2 linked regions of the Xenopus tropicalis genome follow. The protein of the gene in region 1 interacts with the protein of each later gene in a pairwise test. Links are inferred from orthologs where the notes say so. Each region holds a gene or a part of one and is shown in the gene's direction. Other genes may lie near its edges.

Region 1 (3,812 bases):
CATTTACAAATACTTTTTAAAGCATGCCAAATCTCTTGCTGTTGAGGAATGTTCAAATTTCTCAGCATCAGGAGAGGTCCTGGTGTGACAACTATTGGCCAAAACTATTATATCTTATTCAGAGGGCTGTATTAATAACGGCTTAGTCACTTTGGCCTGTCTTTATCAGGATTATAATTTTTAAAGAGGACAAAAAGGAAACCCACTTTAGGTTGATAACTGTATCTCTATTAAATACGTACTAAACTCTCTTCTTTGCAGAGTTTCGGGAGACACGCGCTGGACAGGATTTCTTTGCGTCATGTCGGAGCCCTGAAATCTGCTGTGAACTCACACTGCAGGTAATGGAGAAGGCAGAGAAATATGAAGTAATTGGGAACGTTTCGGGGCAACATAACCACAACCGGACACATTTATTTATGCTTATCTGTGGAGTAAAAAAAGATTTAGAATTTAGTGTAGGGGACCAAGGAGTTTATTGATTGTTAGCTTTATCTCAGTTATTTCTGCTCCAGATATTTGAAGGGATGCAGTATTTCAAACAATTTGTTTTATCTTTATATGCTTATAAGTTTGAAATATCAGCAGCTATCTGGTTGCTTGGGTCTTGTTTACCTTATGAACCAGGTAGATGTGTGAATGAGAGACTGCAATATATATAGGAGAGGGACTGAATAGAAAAATAAGTAGTAAAAAACAACAATAATAATAAAATTGCAGCCTCTCAGAGCAATAGTTTTTCGGCTGCCAGAGTCAGTGATCCCATTTGAAAGCTGGAAAGTCAGAAGAGGAAGGCAAATAATTTAAAAACTATTACAAAAGAAATATTGAAGACCAATTGCAAAGTTGCTAGGAATAAAATATTCTATAACATACCACCCCTTTAAATATATGGATGAATGGCTCTTTTTTTTGCAACTCTTAGAACCATGGCACACACACAGCAGTTTGTTTTTTGCTTAAGGCAGTTATCAAAATGCTGCAATATCCTAGGGTTGCTTTCCACTCCTAGCAACTGAAAAGCAGAGAAAATGCACTTGGAGCAATAGTAGTAGGTAACTCACATCAGTTCCTGTTTAACTGATTAGGAAGTGATCTGGGGCAGGTAGCAACGTTTAGGTCTCTGGCCCTAGAAGCGTTGATCAGTACGCAGTGTGAGCCACTGTCATTAGATGGCTAATAAGCAAGCATGACAGGACTGCTGCTCATCAAAGGGAGGATTTAGTCATAACAGTACCTGTACTACATGCACGTTTTCACTATGTAAATAAATCCATTTTCCACCACTGGTGTGTCTTTAAAGAGAAAATAAACCCTCCTGTTTAATTTTTTCTTCCCTTATGTAAAAATGTATTTGCCTAGAAACTCTTATTATTATTATGCTGACATCTGCAGAACGCCCCAGCCAAGGCAAGCAGTACAGAAACACCCTCTGATACATACTGGGAACTATGTTTATGGGCTGGAAGACTGAAAAGGAGGTTACCTACATAGACATTAATTCCCGTTTTTTGTTTAATGTAGTTTTTGTATTTTTTTGCAGCCGCTGCGGAGGTTTCCTCTTGATGCTGCTATCATTTTCTCAGACATCCTCGTGATACCACAGGTAAAAATGAAGGCAGGAAGCCACCAAACAGTTTTACATTTATTTGAAAAGAGCTTTATGTGTAAACAGTTTATGTCTATAAACTATGCATGTAATAACCCATGAATAAAAACACTGTAATCCTATTGGTTAGGATTACATTGAGATATATTCTTGCCCTAAGATACTTAAAAGTTTATGCACTTTAACTACCACAGATACAGATTTAAATATTCTGATGCTGATATTTAGTGTACATTTAGTAAATGTGTTAAACTCTGCAATTAACAGGACATAGCCATTGGTGCTAACCCTGGAGTGGAAAAAATACTTTTGAACTCCAGAGAGCCAGACAGCATAGGGATATCACAGTAGCTGGGTTTCGATCTACAGTATAGATGTTCCACTTGAGGAGGAGATTTGGGAGTAGTTCTATTAGCACCTTGACACTTGATTGTTTTCCCTTGCCAATTTAGGAGCCTTCCATATTTCCAGAGACCATTTATATCCCAAGAGAATACATAAATAAGTTGGGGGACAATTCAATTATTTTAAACTGTTAAAGTTTGATATATGAACTGATACATTTTCCAGCAGCAGCAAAAGCTTCAGCAACTACTGAACATGTTTCCCAAGATGGCCTGGATTGGCAATCTGTAGATTCTGCCATATGCAGTCATTATTTATTGGTACTGTCACATAACATGCTTCGGGAGATGAAAGGGAACTAGGGATTGTAAATAAACAAACACTTGCTCCTTATTTTATTTATATGTAGTGAATGGGTTTGCTCTATTTCATAGAATCTGTTGTCAAGTCCTGTATGTATCCATTTTTATCACAGGCTCTGGGAATGGAGATCCGGATGGAACCTGGGAGGGGACCTGTATTCCCTGAACCTTTACAGACCCCACAGGACCTGCACAAGCTTAGAAGCTCAGTGGATGTATCAGAGGAGCTGGGATATGTATTTCATGCCATCACACTTACACGGCATAAAATAGAAGGAAAGGTGCCCCTGATTGGATTTACTGGTGCACCAGTAAGTGTTGCTAACATGGGCAATGCCAAGACAATACACAATTCATAAAGGGAATTTAAACCCCAAAAAATATATAGCTGTGGTGGTTCTCTGAGCAGTTTTTGCAATTTTGTTTTAGACTTGGTAATAGCGACTTGGTTTGCAGCTTATTTTGCAGGTTGAGAGTGTCGCTGACCCTACCACAACATAAAATATGCACAAGTGCAGTACTATTGGCAGCCTATATTCATAAATCAGCCACAGGCTCAGAGTGGGCACTATTCATGGTCTTATAAAGAACCCTAAATAAGAGTGCTAAGCCTGAGAACTTATGTTCTTGCCACAACTGAGCACTTTTGTGGGAAGGACAATCATCGCGGAGCTGTAGTTCTAAATGGCTGAATGGCTTTTAAATGTAAGTTCATGTCATTAGTTTATATCTCATGCTTTCTACTTATAGTGGACTTTGATGACCTACATGATAGAGGGAGGAGGATCTAACACTATGTCCAAAGCAAAGCGCTGGCTGTACCAACACCCCTCTGCTAGCCACCAGCTTCTGAAGCAACTCACTGATGTCATTGTGGAATATTTGGTGGGCCAGGTAGCAGCGGGTGCTCAGGTATGGTAAACTGGTAATGTGAAAAACTGCTTTTAGATTTTTAACAACTTTAAAATAAAATATACATGTTAAAAAAGTTTATGTACTGTTGGATAATGTCATTTTGTTTTTAGAGGTAAATGTATGAATTTATAAAAGGTTATAACCTGTACTTGGTGTGCATATATGAGGGTTTTCCCTGGTCATCACATGACTTGGGCCAAATGTAATGCGCAGCTGTAGCCACTATTATTGCAGGAACAATTGAACCCCATCACTTTTTCCCTTAATACCCTCTTTTTCTGCCATATTGTTGTTGCGTAAACCCACTTAGCATACTGCACACTGAAAACTATGTTGCCTTGGTTAATATATTCCCCCTAAACTCAGATACTTGCTGATATGATATTTACTGTTATTAATGGGTTAATTTCATTGCACAAAAAGTGTTTCCAACACCTATTTAAAAGCTGCATGAATAACAATTTATAAAAACGTGCTACAAACATGGTATAGCAATTTTATCTGGGCTAAAAGTTTCGCCTAATAAGGTTTTTTTTTGTTTGTGTTGTAGGCCTTGCAAGTGTTTGAGTCCCATGCTGGCT
Region 2 (4,351 bases), on another chromosome or scaffold:
GGAGGGTGCCCTGTAGCTTTAAGGCTTGGGTGTTGCGCTAGGAGAGCTCAGGAAGGTGCCCTGTAGCTTTAAGGCTTGGGTGTAGCGCTGGGAGAGCTCAGGAGGGTGCCCTGTAGCTTTAAGGCTTGGGTGTAGCGCTGGGAGAGCTCAGGAGGGTGCCCTGTAGCTTTAAGGCTTGGGTGTTGCGCTAGGAGAGCTCAGGAGGGTGCCCTGTAGCTTTAAGGCTTGGGTGTTGCGCTAGGAGAGCTCAGGAGGGTGCCCTGTAGCTTTAAGGCTTGGGTGTTGCGCTAGGAGATCTCAGGAGGGTGCCCTGTAGCTTTAAGGCTTGGGTGTTGCGCTGGGAGAGCTCAGGAGGGTGCCCTGTAGCTTTAAGGCTTGGGTGTTGCGCTGGGAGAGCTCAGGAGGGTGCCCTGTAGCTTTAAGGCTTGGGTGTTGCGCTGGGAGAGCTCAGGAAGGTGCCCTGTAGCTTTAAGGCTTGGGTGTTGCGCTGGGAGAGCTCAGGAGGGTGCCCTGTAGCTTTAAGGCTTGGGTGTAGCGCTGGGAGAGCTCAGGAAGGTGCCCTGTAGCTTTAAGGCTTGGGTGTTGCGCTAGGAGAGCTCAGGAGGGTGCCCTGTAGCTTTAAGGCTTGGGTGTTGCGCTGGGAGAGCTCAGGAAGGTGCCCTGTAGCTTTAAGGCTGGGGTGTAGCGCTGGGAGAGCTCAGGAGGGTGCCCTGTAGCTTTAAGGCTTGGGTGTAGCGCTGGGAGAGCTCAGGAGGGTGCCCTGTAGCTTTAAGGCTTGGGTGTAGCGCTGGGAGAGCTCAGGAGGGTGCCCTGTAGCTTTAAGGCTTGGGTGTAGCGCTGGGAGAGCTCAGGAGGGTGCCCTGTAGCTTTAAGGCTTGGGTGTAGCGCTGGGAGAGCTCAGGAGGGTGCCCTGTAGCTTTAAGGCTTGGGTGTAGCGCTGGGAGAGCTCAGGAAGGTGCCCTGTAGCTTTAAGGCTTGGGTGTTGCGCTAGGAGAGCTCAGGAGGGTGCCCTGTAGCTTTAAGGCTTGGGTGTAGCGCTGGGAGAGCTCAGGAGGGTGCCCTGTAGTTTTAAGGCTTGGGTGTTGGGCTGGGAGAGCTCAGGAGGGTGCCCTGTAGCTTTAAGGCTTGGGTGTAGCGCTGGGAGAGCTCAGGAGGGTGCCCTGTAGCTTTAAGGCTTGGGTGTAGCGCTGGGAGAGCTCGGGAGGGTGCCCTGTAGCTTTAAGGCTTGGGTGTAGCGCTGGGAGAGCTCGGGAGGGTGCCCTGTAGCTTTAAGGCTTGGGTGCTGCGCTGGGAGAGCTCAGGAGGGTGCCCTGTAGCTTTAAGGCTTGGGTGTAGCGCTGGGAGAGCTCAGGTCTGAGTCAGGCAGGTGCACTGTAGCTTTAAATGGTGAGGGCTGGGTGGGTGCAGCGGCTCAGCTCTCGGTGCTACAGTCGCACACAGTCAGTGCAGCCGCTGAGCCGGTCGGATCAGTACAGACTCCGGCGCGCAGGGAGCCGCATGTGCCATGATCCCGCCCGGGGGCCCCCCTGTGCCCGGACACCGGCCCTCTGTTTAGTCCTGAGCCGGAGGGATCGCTGCCTGGCTGGGGCCGCCGCACGGTAAGTGGCAACTTCTCTCCGCTGGTACTGACCGCACCTGTCCGACCTTCCCTGCCCCATAGGGTGGGGTCTCACAGGCAACACCGACTGCAACAGGTGCGACTCTCTAGCGGGGGCTTGACTACAACTCCCACAATCCCCTGTTAGTAAGAGTTGACGCTACTCAAACACTTTCTGTTTCCCTTACAGATCAATGGGGAACCAGGTGGAGAAACTGACCCATCTCAGCTACAAAGAAGTCCCCACGGTGGATCCGACCGGTGTAGATCAGGACGAAGGTCCCAGAATCGGGGTCTCCTACATCTTCTCGGCGGACGACGATGAACTGGAGGAGCCCGGGCAGGAGCCGGGCAGGCAGAGCGCAGTAGTACGGGAGGAGCTGCCCTACGATCCCGGTAACGAGGTGGAGTGCTCGGTGTATTACCGGGACGAGTGTATCTACGAGAGGAGCCTGGGCGGAGCGGAGCGGGGCAGGACCTACTCCCCGGAGAAGCTGCTGGACAGGTGCAAGCCCGGGGACCTGCTGGAGTTTGTGGCCAGGAACCAGTACCCGCACTGGGCGCTCTATGTGGGGGACTTCCAGGTGGTGCATCTGTACCGGCTGCACATCGCTAACAGCTTCGTGACGGACGCCAGCCAGGGCCGGAGGGGCCGGATCGTCAACGATCGCTACCGATTCAAGGCGCTGAGCCCGGAGGTGGCGGTGCAGAACGCTATGGAACAGGTGGGCTCCAAGGAGCAGGAGCTAAACTGGCGCAACTCCGAGTGCTTCGCCGCCTGGTGCCGCTACGGCAAAAGGGAGTTTAAGATCGGCGGGGAGATCCGCATAGGCAAGCAGCCCTACCGGCTGCGGATTCGCCTCTCCGAGAAGAAGAGCCACACGCTGGAGTTCCAGAGCCTGGAGGACCTGATCATGGAGAGGAGAAGGAACGATCAGATAGGCAAAGCCGCCCTCCTGCAGGAACTCGCCAGCCACCTCCATGGTGAGGAGGAACCCAGGACAGAGCCCAATGGCAACAACTGAGGGGCAGCCACTTAACCCTTTCAGTTCCTTTCAAATCACATGTGAGGGGGGAGAGCTTATTCAGTTCTTATTACTTTGGGTTTAACCATTTCACTCCCCCCCCCCCCTCACGCTTGCGGAATTCCCACTGCCTATATCCCAATTTCTGGCGTTTCATTTCACTCCCAAAAGGAATATTTCCCTTTAAGGCAAATCCCAACTGGAACCAGTTCTGCCTGTGTTTAAAGGGAGGTGTGGCCCCTTGGATGTGTTGGCAGGATCCGGCTGCTTGTTTGCCCTACAGCGCTAGTAGTGCTGGGGGCCCAGGGCCCGACTCTTTATATCCTATGACCCTTCAGCTGTTGATGGAATACAATAAGGGCTGAGATACAACTCCCTGGTGGTGCTGGGAGTTGTACAACACCGGACTGGCAGGGGGAAACCCTGATCTAAAGTTTTACTGTCGCCATCTTGCTTTGTGGCTGCCATCTTGTTCTGCCTTCCCCTTCTGCTACTTGCCCTACCCACAGCTGAGATCTTGGGCTGGTTTCATTATATGGTGGTTCAGGCTGAAATATACTACAGTCTTGGTGTTTGTACCAAAGCAGGGCACCATTCCTCCCCCTTACCCCTGCATTGTGCCCAGAGGTCCAGCCAGCTGCCATTGTTTACACTGATTGGGGGTAATGTACTAAAAGGTGCAACGGTTTCCACTAGTCTAGTAACCCGTAACAACCAGGCGACTGCCTGTACTGGTCACCTGTTTGAAAACAAGCATCTGATTGGTTGCTGCGGGTTATTACACTTTGCCCCTTTTTATCACATTACTGTGATTATTTGCTGCATGTGTTAAGCAGAGCTTTTTGTATCTTGCTAAATGACAGAGCTGGGATATCAGTGCTGAACTTCAACTCCCATCAGCTGGATTTCATGTCATGGTGGAACCACGGCTGATATGCAATTAAGGCAGGGGAGATATGTGTTTTCACCTGTTATATGACAGGCTACTTAGTAGGTACAGGTATGGGATCTGTTATCCGGAAACCTGTTATCCAAAAAGTTTTCAAATTACGGGAAAGCCATCTCCCATTGACTCCATTATAATCAAGTAATTCAAATTTTTAAAAATTGTTTTTTTTTTTCTGTAATAATAAAACCGTACTTTGTTCTGGACCCCAACTAATCCTCATTGGAGGCAAAACAAGTCTGTTGGGTTTATTCAATATTTAAATGATCTTTAGCAGACTTAACTTTTGGAGATCCATTCTGGATAACCGGTCCCATAGATGTACTAAATGGCCACGTGGGTAGGAGGTGCCCTTTGTATGTATAGCAGGTAGTGTGCTCACAATGTGGGACAGTTCGTTACATTCTATGTATTGAGGGGGCTCATTAGGGCTGTGCTCCAACAGAGACAGTCAGTGTTTGAGTCTGTTACCTTGGTTACAGACACGCAGTCCGCACTTAGGCAACATGGGCTGCTATAGTCACTGCAGGAACAATGTTATGGGTTCATGACGCGCCCAGCCACATTTCAGGCTCATTTCTGCCCTTATCTCAAACTTTATATTGCCCCCTAACCCTATACCCGCAATAGAGCACCCCCTAGCCCCATGCCCACAATACAGCACCCCCTAGCCCTATGCCCACAATAGAGCACCCCCTAGCCCCATGCCCACAATACAACACCCCCTAGCCCCATGCCCACAATACAACACCCCCTAGCCCTATGCCCACAATAGAGCACCCC

What was found.
Region 2: the proteins of urod (region 1) and lratd2 interact in binary tests that used the Homo sapiens proteins (3 or more experiments, as listed by UniProt). The two-hybrid records come from large-scale screens. The link is inferred for Xenopus tropicalis from reciprocal best matches to the Homo sapiens genes UROD and LRATD2.

Annotation. Positions count from the first base shown.
Region 1 is NC_030680.2:90,479,539-90,483,350, forward strand, and holds part of urod (uroporphyrinogen decarboxylase), read left to right. Parts: intron 1-261; coding exon 262-341; intron 342-1,543; coding exon 1,544-1,606; intron 1,607-2,429; coding exon 2,430-2,627; intron 2,628-3,066; coding exon 3,067-3,228; intron 3,229-3,781; coding exon 3,782-3,812. UniProt on the Homo sapiens protein: Catalyzes the sequential decarboxylation of the four acetate side chains of uroporphyrinogen to form coproporphyrinogen and participates in the fifth step in the heme biosynthetic pathway.
Region 2 is NC_030682.2:140,886,786-140,891,136, reverse strand, and holds lratd2 (protein LRATD2), read left to right. Parts: upstream 1-1,262; 5' UTR 1,263-1,383; coding exon 1,384-1,598; intron 1,599-1,787; coding exon 1,788-2,622; 3' UTR 2,623-3,689; downstream 3,690-4,351.